Linked DNA regions of Daphnia pulex. The protein of the gene in region 3 purifies or fractionates together with the protein of the main gene of each other region. This does not show direct contact. Links are inferred from orthologs where the notes say so. Each region holds a gene or a part of one and is shown on either strand. Other genes may lie near its edges.

Region 1 (4,832 bases), on a different chromosome or scaffold from region 3:
CAGAAGGCTGTCATGCCCTGTTCTTTGGGGATACGGACAAAGGCATCCACAATACCTGGAAAAAGAAACATAAATTATTGTAAAAACCCAGTTCACACAAGATATAGATACTAGGTGTTGACCCAATTATGAGTCTCATGTAAAACTCATATATGGTTACTTTCACAATCCAAAATCTTATCTTTTCAAGTCACACACATTCAATTCCAGAACTAGCAAAAACTGGTTTACATGATCAAAAGCCCATGAGGCGAACGAACATACTAGCTGAGCATACAAGAACAATGTAAAAATATCTTTTAAACTTTGCGAGAAAAACTTAAGGATTTTTTGTGATCCAACATGGCGCCGTGCCGGCGTGAGCCGGTTCGGAACCAACGGTAGAATATCTCTCCCGATTAAGTAACTAGAGAAGGGGGGGGGGAGGGGATTCAGCCATCTTACCCTTGTACTGCTTGTCGGCCGTGATCTGTTTGGAGGCATGTTGAACCTGAAGGAGCAGCTTAACTCGTTCAATTGGGGCGACGGCCGTCTTGGAAACGGCAGCCGAAACACCACCAGCGATAAAGTCCTTGGCAAAGGACAGAGGATCAGCGGTTTTACCAGACATTTTCAGTGGTTTTTTTCAACAAGCAGAAACGATGGGAGAGCCGGGCAGATTGTGCACGTGTTGAGACTTCGAGCACGAAAGGGAAGAGTACGAGTCTGGTCTCTGAGTTTCTACCTTCGGTCTTTTAACAATTCAGTGGTGCCCTCTAAGGTGCCTTGGTTACGGCCACAATTCAAAGGCCTGTCAACTCGATTGAGATTGCGCATTTAATCAAGTTTCCAGTCATGACCGCTAGGTCGGAATTGATCATAATTTACAATATCATTTCTTCACTTCTTGAACCTTAATTGACCATTTCTCTGCCTTAATAATAATGTGCTATTTTCAAGAGAATTTTACAAATGTAATTTTTCAGTTATTTGCAGTTTTTAATTAAAATTGAATGTAGTTTTGTGCAACGCCACCTGTGATCAATTCACTTCAGTTAGCTTATATGAAAGGCCTTCGCCAATCTACTGGGACTTCGATTTTTCTAAGGACCAATCCAAAAATCCGTTAGTAACGGATTTTACAAGTGCCTTAGGCATTTTCACGTGACGGGGATAGGAAAATGCCGCCCTTTTGGCGCCTTTTACTTTTTTTATGTTAGAAGATTATCAAATAGGGGGAGGAATCCCCATTGGGGTGTACTTCGACCCTAATGACCCTATATGAACCCGATTGATGTAATCAAGAATTATGTAATTATCTCATCTCATCGATATTGCGAAATGAATGAATTCCCGAAAATGCATAAAATGAATTCAGTTGTAAAGGGTAAAAAAATCTGGATGAAACCAAAAATGGAAAGTTTGATGGATAGTTGCCAACTCGACTGGGCCGTATAACCTACATATTTCTCTATGGAATGACGTCATCTGAATTCACACGGAATCTTGTCACGTAGTTTGGCCAGTTATTTCTCTTAATTATTTATGTAAACAATTCAATGATCTTTTCTGGAATTATTTAGTCATTTAACAATTCTTAAATAAAATAATCAAGTTGAAATTGAGTTGAAACTAAACCTGGCAACGCTGTTCATATTTACCATCAAGACAATTTTCGGCTTCCCGTCAGCCTGTTTGTGTTGATTTGATGACCGAAAAAAAGTAAAACTAAATTTGTGTTTGTTATGATTGCGTGATTCTTCTAAAGCTAGGATTTTAAAACATCCAAAATGCCAAGCAGTGATGAAGAAAACGAAAATCACAGTAGTGATGATGATGGAGATTTGAGTAATAGCCCCGATAATAATGATGACGATTCGCAATCATCTCAAGAAGACGGAGGTGGAGGAGGTAGAAGAACATCAGGATTAAACCTTACTGGGTTCCTCTTTGGTAATATTGACAAAGAGGGTAAACTTGAAGCAGATATCCTTGATGAGGAATCTAAACGTCAGCTGGGCACCCTTGGACGATTTGGCTTGATGTCAATACTTCAAAATGTCATTAGAGAAGACGATTCTGTAAGCAAAGATCAAAGTACAGATTCTGAAGATGATGGAGCAAAATCTCCAACTGCTGAAGACTATTCTGACATCAACGAACTGGCAGAAGACGAAGGAGGACCATATCTTGATGACTCAATCCTCATGCCACCACCACCTACACCAACATCCAAGAGCCTTTCGGCAAGTGAGGCAAAGAAACGATTGGAAACGCCTTTGGCAGCCATGCTTCCTTCCAAATACGCTAACATAGATGTGAGAGAGCTATTCCCAGACTTTCGGCCTGACAAAGTCTTGTGCTTTTCCAGACTCTTTGGGCCTGGAAAACCCAGTAGTCTTCCTCAAATCTGGAGAGGTGTAAAGAAGAAGAGAAAGAAGAAGAAATCTCCAGATTCAGAAGACTATGTTGAAGAGGAAATTGAACATGTAGAAATCACTTTCAAATTCGGCCCACCTCCTCCTCCGGAAAAATGCAGACCAGATGACGAAGAACGTTTCTTAAAGCCTCTAGAAGATCCTAATGCTCTCAATAATATCAAGAACTCTGATGATGACAAAGGACCCAATGTAGCGGATTGGAGGTTTGGGCCGGCTCAGCTTTGGTATGACATCCTTGGAGTTCCAGAATCAGGTATAACAATTAATTAATTATTTATTTGAACTTGATTAACGTTTCCTTGCTTTTTATAGGAGAAGAGTTTGATTACGGTTTCAAAGTGAAACGGAAAGATCCTAATAATGTTGACGAAGATGGCAAAGACCTGCCCGGGTTCAAATTTCCAGACGAGGCCTTTCACATGATCACGCAGTTAAATTGGGAAGACGACGTGGTCTGGAATGGCGACGATATCAAGCACAAAGTAATGCAAAAATTGAATGCAAAAGGTGGCTTAGCCTCAGGATGGCTCCCGACGGCTACCAATCGCTTGGCTACACAGAAAGCCACCCCTGCTGCCACTCCAGCCACCGGTAAAGCAGCAACTCCTGGAGCTAAAGGTGGCGCAAAATCGGCTGCAAACAAACCCGGAGGAGCGGCCGCAGCAGCCGCTGCCGCCGCCGCTGCGGCTGCTGCTGCTGCAGCCGTCGAAGAGGCAGCCGACGACGTTTGGCATTCGATTTTCCCAGTCGAAAACGACGAGTTGGTGTTTGGCCAGTGGGAAGATGACATCATCTGGGACAGCGAAAACATGAAGGAGATGCCCAAACCCAAGATATTGACACTAGACACTAACGATGAAAACGTCATTTTGACCATTCCTGATGACATTGATCCTGCCACAAAACAAGCATACGTTCAACAGCCTGTCAAAGTCAAGATTCCTCATCCTCACGTCCGAAAATCCAAGTTACTCTTGGGAAAAGCCGGTGTCATTAACGTATTGGAAGACGATTCACCTCCTCCACCGTCGGAAAATAACGATAAAGATCCTTACAATATCTCCAATGACGAATATTATGCAGCCAAAGCGACCGAGGCGGCTATCAAAGGTAAATTAATCCATCACAACTAAATTTTAAAAACTTAATTAATTGGAATTTATGGAATATTACAGTCAGCACGGGTGGAAATATCATTCAACATTCAACGCCCGTGGTGGAACTCCAGGCACCTTTCATTCCCACGCACCTGTCGATAATGAAACTGCGCAGTTTCCATCGACCACCGCTCAAACGCTACTCCCATGGACCGTTATCGACACCTGGCCCTCATCCTGTCCACCCGCTCCTACGCCACATCAGAAAAATGGCCAAACAGCGTGAACTCGAGCGAATGGCTGCCGGTGGTGGTGATATCTTTTTCATGCGAACACCGGATGATCTCAGCGGTAAAGATGGTGATCTCATTCTCCTGGAATACTGCGAAGAACACCCGCCGTTAATCAGTCAAGTGGGCATGTCCTCCAGGCTGAAAAATTATTACAAACGGAAGTGAGTTTTCATTTTTAAAACGGAATTTGATCGAGAGACTTAAATTTAATTTATTTCACAGGGCTGTCAAAGACACAGGGCCGCCTCAATACAAATACGGTGAAACAGCTTACGCTCACACCTCACCGTTTTTGGGTACCCTCCATCCGGGCCAGTCCATCCAGGCTATTGAAAACAACATGTACCGTGCACCAATCTACGAACATCAATTGCCGTCGACGGATTTCCTAGTAATTCGAACGCGGACAACGTACCATGTCCGTGAAGTCGATGCATTCTACACTGTCGGTCAGGAATGTCCACTGTACGAAGTGCCCGGTCCGAATTCTAAAAGAGCCAACAACTTTACCCGCGATTTCCTACAAGTATTCAACTAAAGTCATTCTAATAGTCTTCTATGAAACATCCAAACAAAATGTTTATTTTAATTCAGGTCTTTATCTACCGACTGTTTTGGAAGAGCCCCGACACTCCACGTCGTATCCGCATGGATGACATTAAACGAGCTTTCCCAGCACATTCCGAAAGCAGTATCCGCAAACGGTTGAAACTATGCGCGGACTTTAAGCGAACAGGAGTCGACTCCAATTGGTATTTCGTAGTATAATAATTCATACTCCAACGGATGTCCAAATTGCTCATTTTTGGTTACCGACAAATTCAACAGGTGGGTATTGCGGCCGGATTTCCGGTTACCTTCGGAAGAAGAGCTTCGAGCGTTAGTGTCGCCGGAGCAATGTTGCGCCTATTTCAGTATGATCGCGGCCGAACAGCGTTTGAAAGACGCCGGTTACGGTGAGAAATTCCTTTTCGCACCTGAGCAGGATGACGACGAAGACCAGCAACTGAAAATGGACGACG
Region 2 (5,024 bases), on a different chromosome or scaffold from region 3:
TTTTATTGTTTCAAAGAAACTGAGATTTAGCCTTTAGGTTGTACCGACATGCGTGAAAATAAAATTCTTTTGCAGTTAATTATACATGCGTATGTTCATAATAGACTTAATCTGATTTCAAATTTTGATTCAGAGTAAAAATTTGAGTCAGAGTTGTAATTTTCATTCATATTGGTGGTCAGCCGGATAGTAGCGTGCAAAGAATTGTAGATTTTAGCGATCTCCTTAGTGACTCACCTTCCCACTTCCCCTCACCCTTCTCCGACTAAGCCTCCCCAGTTCTACCTCTCTTAGACTCTGAATCTAAGACCGCGATCTAACATTGAGATTGAGTCCAGTCGAGTCCAGTAACCATACTGATAGGTGGCCGCCACCTCACGTTGCACTTTGTTCTTATTAAGATGAAAAAATCAGGTGATCTTTTATCTGATCAAACAAAAAAGGTTTATCATGCAAATTATATTAATATACTCAAAATTATTCGTAAAATTTAACTAATCTATCAAAACTAAAATGAAATGAATATTGGAAATTCGTTTAAAAAAAAACAGTTGAACTTTATTCAAAAAAGACACATATTTTTTCAACACAAAATTGCTGTTTTCACTCGACAGACAGAAAACCGGCTTTCGTAAAATAATTTACAATCATAGACTGCTCGTCAGCAGCCAGGCCGGGTAGGAGCGGAGTCTTGTCGGTCCCACTCTGAGAAAAAGATTTGTATTTTATTTCAAGTGAATAAATCAAGAGAGTGAATGATTCGACTTACCAATATGAGATTGGCCTTCAATGACGTATAGTACAATGGTCTCAAACGTAGATTTTGGCAAATCTGAGATTTAAAGGAAAACAATTATTGGATAAAACTTTAAAAATAATAATTATAATAATCGTTTCACTGACTTGCTTTTCAGCAGGACTGAGCAGTTCTGAACCGGGACATAAAGTGAGATCGTCGCTCTTGGCGAGGAAATTAGCAACTGCCTCCTGCCATTCTGACTGTGAAAGTCGGGTATTAGCGGAGAGTACGGGCCCGAGTCGAGGCAGACTGCTTGAAACGCTGAGGACGCTGCTGTTGTTGTTGCTGCCGAAGGAGGTGACTTTTGCGTCTCGAAAGCTTGAAAGTAGCACTTCTTCCCTTGCGTTGCTGCGAAAAAAAAAAAAAAAACAAAAAAAACAAGTTACATACATAAGCCACGAATTTACTTAACAATTCTAAGAACTAAGAAATATAGTTGAGATTTCGTAATATAATGCAAAGCTATCACAGGTAACTGATGAGTTAAACTGCACATAGTATGTAAAAAAGGGGAAATAATAAAGCTTACTCTGACTTGTGTAGTGTCCCAGGGTTTTGTACAATCGGCCCCGGTCCACTGCTTCCCTACGTTAAAGTCTATTGTTCAATTTCCAGTCTTTTTTGGGTTCTAATTTAACTAGCTTGTAAGATACTTAAAATAAAGACACATAAGTAAAAAAATAAAATCGAATATTCAACCAATGGACACCACCAATAATGATTCATTTCAACGAAGTATTAACAGGTAAATAAACCAGTCGCACACTCTTACTATCGCTTGACGAAACTATGCAAGCAATAGTACAGACTGGGAAAATTGCTTACGGATTTCCGGCGCTGGCGCTCCAACCGGGCTTCTTTCTTTCTTTCACGGAAGTATCGCAGTCGTTCATATTCAGTACATTCCTCATGTCGAGTTAATCCATTCCTACGGTATTTGATTAGTTCTCGAATCCGCAATCGCAAAGCTCTCTCTTTAGTTAGATTGCGTAAGAATTGCTCATGCTCAGGTGCCGTGTGGAATTGGGAAAACGAACGAAATTTTTCTTGCGTTTCTCTGTACAAGGAAAAAAATGTAACTGTTTGTAATGAATCTATAGTTAACTAATTGAAACATGAATTACTTTTCCTTTTGGGACTCCCTTTTTTTTGCGGCAGTCGTAGGTTTTTCCTTCTCTTTCTTGATAGCGTTAAAAAATTGGGATACCAGTTGAAAATCCCGAGCAACCCGCTTCCTTCGGGCTCTTTCCCTCAGGCGGCGAGTATACATATCGACTTGAGCCAGTTTTAGAGCCAAATCAATATCCTCGTCGTCATGATTAATGGCAAGATGAGAAACAATTGCCTCAGCTTCATTGTCATGTTCCTACAAAAAATAAAAATAATGTTGAAGTTTTTAAGACAATTTGTTTCATGACAAATTAAGACCCACCCTTTCAAAATCATCTCTTTGAGGCATGTATCCAAGTTCTAATGTTTCTTCAGGTTGAATAGCTAAAGGTGGTAGTCGTGATGTGATGGATGGAGATAGAGGTGCATTATCTGGACAAGTGTGATCAATTGCTGCCAAGCGAGACTCTCCACTTGCGAGAAGTCCATTTGGAAGCCCTTGCCATGTTAGTTTACCTATTGTTCCTGTGACAAATCTATCACAGTACTGTTCTTTGCATTCTGTAAAAAAAACATAATTGGAGAGTAACTGATGATAAAATCCTGATAAAAATCAACAATTACTTTCTGAATCCCGTGTTTCTACATGTTTCGCAACATCTTCCCAATTTCCATAACCAAACTGTTCTATTGCATCAAGTAACTGATAGTCTTCCCTTGCAATCCAGCCACCTTCATCCTCCCTTTGTTGGTCAGGAAAAATACTAAAAGTACCAGGATCCTAGAAATTAAAAATAAAGTATTTATTGAGAGTTTGATAGAAAAACTTAAATACTCACTATTAATCTATATCCATGACTACTTTTATGTGGTCCAATTTCACAGCCAAGAGAGAAACACTAGAAAGAAACATTGCAAAACTGTGTTATTAAAATAATTCAAATTCGCCGCCGACCAACCGGCAATACCACTCCGGTGGGCGTCATAACAAACAACAAAGAAGGAAGGGGAGGGATTCATTCAACGAAGATTTTATACCACACCTGTAAACAAAGTTCGTAATCGACACAAACGTTACATCGGATTCGAATGCCAAGGATGTCGTCCTGACAGTAGCCACATCGATGCTTCATAAATAAATCTGAGGAATGGATACAGAAAGAAAGATTTTCAATTTTCGAAAATAAGGATTCAACGAGAGCATTTTTTTTTACCCGCCATCTTTAGCCTTCCCTTCCCATCAAGAACAACTAAGCTATGCCAACGCTAGCGAAAGCATTGGTCGCGCCCTCTGGTGACTGAGAAGTGAGAAGTCTTTAAAAAATAATTAAAATGACGTGTAAAATTTATAAACAATGTACACCGTACATTTTATTAAATTAAATTTTTTTTAATGTATAACGAGACGTGTTTGGTAAATAGAAATAATTCAACGTATTATATATCACCAATTGGCAACTAGTTCGTGTCGGCTTTTTCAGCTCCAATGCGGTAGTGGTCTGCAAAAAAAGTCACGCAAAATGGCTCTCAATCTGACTGTCAAGTTGCATCCTGTTGTATTATTTCAGATTATTGACTCTTATGAGCGTCGTAATCCTGATGCACAGAGAGTAATTGGAACGTTGCTTGGTAACATACAATTTAGATCATCCGTTTGCTTTCGCGTTTTATTGTTTTTTCGACTGTTGACACGTGTATCGGTATCGAGTACCTGACAAAATCTTTGGATTATATACCTAAATTCCTATAATATGCGAAATCGAAGTTGTGATAACTCATTTTTCATATTGATTTTTTCCAGGCACATCAGATAAAAATGGTGTGGAAGTGACCAATTGCTTTTGTGTGCCTCACAATGAATCAGAAGAAGAAGTGGCTGTGGAATTGGACTTTGCCAAGGATATGTATGACTTGCATCGTAAAGTTAATCCCCAAGAAAGCATTGTAGGTTGGTGGGCAACTGGTACTGGAGTCACATCTCACTCTGCTCTTATTCATGAGTACTACTCCAGAGAGTCCTCCAATCCTGTTCACATTACAGTGGACACCACATTGCAAGATACCCGTATGGGAATCAAAGCTTATGTCAGGTACATGCTATTAATTCAGTATGATACAATTGCTTTGAAAAATAATTATCTTTAAATTATCATCTAGTGTCCCAATGGGTATCACAGGCAAAACTATGGGATGCATGTTTGCTCCTGTTTCTGTTGAGATAGCATGCTATGACCCAGAAACTATTGGATGTAATTATAATAGAAAATGTGTATGTATACTGGGAATTAATCTTTGATTGTTTTTCAGTAAATGCCTGCCAGAAAACCAAAACCTCGGTTAAACGTCAAGCGGGCATCGCTTCGGATCTTACTCAGATTGTTGAAGCCTCGCAGCAGATGGAAAACATGCTGGACACTATCTTGGCTTATGTTGACGACGTAATGAGTGGCTCCAAAACGGCTGACAACACGTTTGGTCGTTCTCTATTAGATATGGTTCATTCGGTACCTAAAATGACACCCGACGAATTTGAAGAGATGCTTAATTCAAACCGAAAGGTAGAAAACATTACCCAATATTTACTTATTTAATCTAATTTTTGTAAAACTTTATTAATTTAGGATTTATTGATGGTATTATATCTATCACAACTTACCAAGACTCAACTGTCGCTGAACGAAAAACTCACATTGTTGACAATTTAATTCAGAACGTTGATATAAAAAATAAAAATGAACATCTCCCAATTAAATTACAATTTTCTGATGTAGTCCTCGTGAGCATATTTATTAGGAAACTATAGTATACAGTCACACGTACACAAGGGGGAAGAAAATTTCTTCGCTACCAAGGAAAAGAATCACACCCATCTTCTCTCAGAGAGCAAAAAAAATGATGATTAGGAAAAGCGAAAAACAGAATTTCAAGAAACGACCATCAGGAAGTTGGCCAGGTTTAGTAGCTATCGTTTACATGAGGAATGCTTAATTAAGCAGGCACATTGGTGGGTAAGATAGATTTATCCAGATCGGTAAACCAAGCATGATCTAAAGCATCCTGAGCCGTGATACGAAGGGCTGGATCGTAAATGAGAGTTTTTTGAAGCAGATCAAAT
Region 3 (3,522 bases):
ATCTCGCAGCCGCTCCCGTAGCCGCCAGGACAACTATCGCGGTCGTGACCGAGATGCAAGAGATAACCGGGATGCCAGAGATACAAGTCCTCAAGGTCGTAATGATCAGGATCAGCATCGTAACGAACGAGAAAGTGGAGAAAGAGATGTACAGCAACGTAGTCCAGCACGTGAAGAGAAACCTGGTCCTGTACCCGCTCCAGTTGCCGCTGTGACAGCATCGTCGTCCCAGTCTGATCGTCGTAAAGTTGGAAGTAAATGGGACGATGGAGGTGGTGACGACGATGAAGACTTGGTCCCACCGGGCTGCGAATAGTTTTTCTACACGTGCAGTTAATACTGCAACATTTGATGAGCACATGGAATTCCTTCATTTTTTTTTCTCATACATTTTAACTATTCGCCCCCCCCCCATTTGCAAAGTTCAACACGATCAAGTCTGCATAGCAGTTTTCAACCCTATGATTTTACTTTCAGAAACCAAGCTGATTTTGTCTCGTCAGCCGTTCCATTGTGTTCCTCAGCACTCGTTGTCCCCCTTTAAGATTCCTTTTCTCGTGTCAAACATGTGTGCTAAGGTGATAAAACATTGAGTTGAACATCTTTCCTATGTACATCTGGAAGCCATATTACACGAGCAACGTTAATTCATTTTTTAAATACTTGGATAGCATGAAGAAAAAATCTTAAGTCGATTGATTTATTCAAGAATTTATCATTACTCAGGCAACGTAACGCGAGCTTGTAAGAAATTTAATGAAATAAGAAACCATTCCAATAATTCACGCAGCATCATAATCATCGTCCTCTCTTTCACGCTTCACTCCTCGAACATCAATTTCCATTTTCTCTGCTGGCTGATTGGGCTGAGCCGGAATATTGATCTGAATCTTTGGAACATTGGCGGGAGTATTAATTGCAGAACCAGTGTTGATCTTCACAACAGGTCGAGGAGTTGTGGGAGTTCCCGCATTAATCGTAGTGACCCGAACTGCAGGTGAACTCGGTCGGTGCACAGCTCTTGCCGCCCCCAGCATACCAATTCTAGATCCAGTAGTCGATCCACCACCAAGAGCCTTTGGTAATGTCTTTTTGATAGTTTTCAACTTGTAATTGCAAGCAGCAAGGCAATGACAGTCAGGTGGCAGGCGAATGCCACAGTGTGGTTTCACTGAAGGTAGAGGTGTGCTATTTTTTGATCTTGCAACTTCCATGAGAATCTAAATGTGAAATAGATGAGAATATGGCCAAATAACTTATTTCTATTGTAAATTCTGTATACTTCACGTGGTGGGGGAGAAGTGAAAGATTGTTCCATTTGCATTGAAACAGCAAGTTTGACATCGTCCAAATCAATCCCTTTTTTCTTAGCATGATTTGCATATGCCTTAGCGTCATCTAGGACAGTAGTCACATATCCTAAGATTAAAAACAGTTAATGAAAAGTCGTTCATAATCGTTCTATTTGACTATTCCTAGGCTTACGGTATATGAATTCCAACAGTTGATTGATAACCCTAGGCTCGTATTCAGTAATGCCCATATCTTTTAGGATAGCTTGAATTACTAGAGCATCACGGGGAATTTTTGTAGACATGGTCGTTAGATTTGAAATCAAACTGAGATACCAATAAACCAAATAAACCAACTATTATTGACTTGAATTCAAAAGATTCCTTCGAGGCTGTCTCATTTCACTTTTGTTAACAGAATAAGTTGGGCTGTCAACTTATCCTTCAGCCATCTAGCGTTAGCTTTGAGCATTTTTATTCATTTGTTTGTGTGCTGGAAGACGAGCACACAATAAAACCAAAAGTTTTAATCTTTCTCTTTTTTTTAAGATTTTAATTAATCCCTAACCGTCGATCAGTCAACACTAGGTAAGACATGCACATTCCAATGAAGATTATGATTCTGTGTTCTGGTTAAAGAAATTGAATTTATTTATTACGTTCAAACATCTTTTTTACCGGCATCACAACATTTCCTAATTAAAACGATATGTTCTATTAATCTCATCATAATTTAAGCAATATAGATTCACAACATTTGTGAATAAAGTTGAAACAATGGTACTTTTTCTATTCTAAACAGCCTTTAGAGGATGGATGACTCTTTGCACATGTCTGAGCCAAACATCAAAGACGATGCAGAAGATTCCAAGGAAGGAAGTCTGGGGAAGGATGGAAATGATTCAGTGTCAAGTGAACAGAAAGAAATAGAAGATAAAGCCAACAATTCCAATGTTTCTAATGATTATGGTAAGTTGAGTGAAGTTATGTTTATTTCTTATAATACGATGTCAATCTACTATTAAAATCACAGACAAAGCAAAAGATGATGATGGCTCTCAGTCTCCCCATTTGAAGAAAGGCTCTAGAAGTCGATCACCATCTGCTTCCAAATCACATTCAAGATCAAGATCTCGTTCTTCATCTAGATCAAAATCTGGGTCTCGTTCTCGATCAGGGTCACGTTCGTCACGCCGTTCGTCACGCCGTTCGTCAAAATCACGGTCTCGCTCTAAATCACGTTCAGGCTCAAGATCTAGAAGTCACTCTAAATCAGTTTCTCGAAAAGGTACTGTATTAGTTGCTAAAAATTTTGATGAGATTAAAACAATTATAATATTCCAAATAATAACTGGTGTTAAAATAAATAGGCTCCAGGTCACGTTCTAGATCTGGTTCTCGTTCGTCTCGTTCGAGATCGCGTTCGTCACGCAGATCTTCTAAATCACGTTCAAGGTCTGGTTCTCGCTCGAGATCCCGAAGCCGTTCAAAATCACGATCACGTAATAGTAGTTTTGGGTAATCCGATTCGTGTTTTGTTAATGTACAAATGTTTTCCAAAAAGGATCCAGGTCTAAAGGCTCAAGATCTAGATCAAGATCTTCGTCGGCGTCCAGCGTGAAAAGCAGGGGAGGTGGTACTCGTAAACGTAAACACAGTCGAAGTGGCAGTGACTCCGACGGACCTGGAAGCTCGAAGAAAAAAGAAAAGACGAAATCACGTATTGCTCGTCCAGCTGGAGATTCAAGTGATGAAGAAGGGGGTAGTCGAAACGAAAAAGACAAAAAAGTTTTGGACGATGTTTTTGGGGAATCTGGTGACGAAGCACCAAAAAAAGACGAAACTAAACAACCAAAACAGGATGATTCAGATAAGGGACAAGATTCTGAATCAGATAATCCAGATGATGATCAAAGGTAAAAAAAAAAAATCATGTGAAATTTTCGTTGTCATTTTTTAAATTCATTATTGATGTTTGTATTAACAGGTCAGAATTTGTTTCTGATTTTGACCTGATGATGGCCCGCAAAAAGGATGAAAAACGGAAGCGCAAGCGCAAAGACGTCGACATCATTAACGATAACGATGACTTGATTGCTCATATGATTCAACAAATGAAAGCTGCTTCTGAAGTAAAAATGGTCTTCGAATCAGTCATCAATAATATTAATGCGTTTTTTTAATGTTGCTGTGTAAAGGAGGATCGTGAGTTCAACAAAAATCGAAAACC

Evidence for each region.
Region 1: the proteins of transcription initiation factor TFIID subunit 9-like (region 3) and transcription initiation factor TFIID subunit 1-like purify together in Drosophila melanogaster (affinity purification with western blotting; 3 studies listed by BioGRID, with this or other methods). This does not show direct contact. The link is inferred for Daphnia pulex from reciprocal best matches to the Drosophila melanogaster genes Taf9 and Taf1.
Region 2: the proteins of transcription initiation factor TFIID subunit 9-like (region 3) and transcriptional adapter 2-beta-like purify together in Drosophila melanogaster (affinity purification with western blotting; 4 studies listed by BioGRID, with this or other methods). This does not show direct contact. The link is inferred for Daphnia pulex from reciprocal best matches to the Drosophila melanogaster genes Taf9 and Ada2b.

What each region holds. Positions count from the first base shown.
Region 1 is NC_060026.1:11,816,900-11,821,731, reverse strand, and holds the start of transcription initiation factor TFIID subunit 1-like, read left to right. Parts: upstream 1-1,628; 5' UTR 1,629-1,769; coding exon 1,770-2,673; intron 2,674-2,732; coding exon 2,733-3,530; intron 3,531-3,595; coding exon 3,596-3,971; intron 3,972-4,032; coding exon 4,033-4,336; intron 4,337-4,404; coding exon 4,405-4,562; intron 4,563-4,638; coding exon 4,639-4,832. Other genes in the region: ADP,ATP carrier protein 1-like, read right to left, coding at 1-55, 445-610. UniProt on the Drosophila melanogaster protein: TFIID is a multimeric protein complex that plays a central role in mediating promoter responses to various activators and repressors. Largest component and core scaffold of the complex.
Region 2 is NC_060026.1:11,480,442-11,485,465, reverse strand, and holds transcriptional adapter 2-beta-like, read right to left. Parts: upstream 3,205-5,024; 5' UTR 3,131-3,204; coding exon 3,124-3,130; intron 3,051-3,123; coding exon 2,953-3,050; intron 2,809-2,952; coding exon 2,749-2,808; intron 2,691-2,748; coding exon 2,534-2,690; intron 2,471-2,533; coding exon 2,232-2,470; intron 2,166-2,231; coding exon 1,924-2,165; intron 1,857-1,923; coding exon 1,625-1,856; intron 1,385-1,624; coding exon 1,329-1,384; intron 1,148-1,328; coding exon 904-1,147; intron 833-903; coding exon 770-832; intron 706-769; coding exon 604-705; 3' UTR 542-603; downstream 1-541. Other genes in the region: eukaryotic translation initiation factor 3 subunit F-like, read left to right, coding at 3,430-3,538, 3,711-3,999, 4,067-4,158, 4,217-4,467, 4,531-4,614; cyclin-dependent kinase 1-like, read right to left, coding at 4,898-5,024. UniProt on the Drosophila melanogaster protein: Component of several Gcn5-containing histone acetyltransferase complexes that regulate nucleosome organization; involved in acetylation of histone H3, particularly on Lys-10 (H3K9ac) and Lys-15 (H3K14ac).
Region 3 is NC_060027.1:3,088,765-3,092,286, forward strand, and holds transcription initiation factor TFIID subunit 9-like, read right to left. Parts: upstream 1,727-3,522; 5' UTR 1,598-1,726; coding exon 1,486-1,597; intron 1,420-1,485; coding exon 1,283-1,419; intron 1,221-1,282; coding exon 783-1,220; 3' UTR 687-782; downstream 1-686. Other genes in the region: G patch domain-containing protein 8-like, read left to right, coding at 1-316; protein IWS1 homolog, read left to right, coding at 2,105-2,261, 2,326-2,580, 2,663-2,794, 2,857-3,208, 3,280-3,424, 3,491-3,522. UniProt on the Drosophila melanogaster protein: TFIID is a multimeric protein complex that plays a central role in mediating promoter responses to various activators and repressors.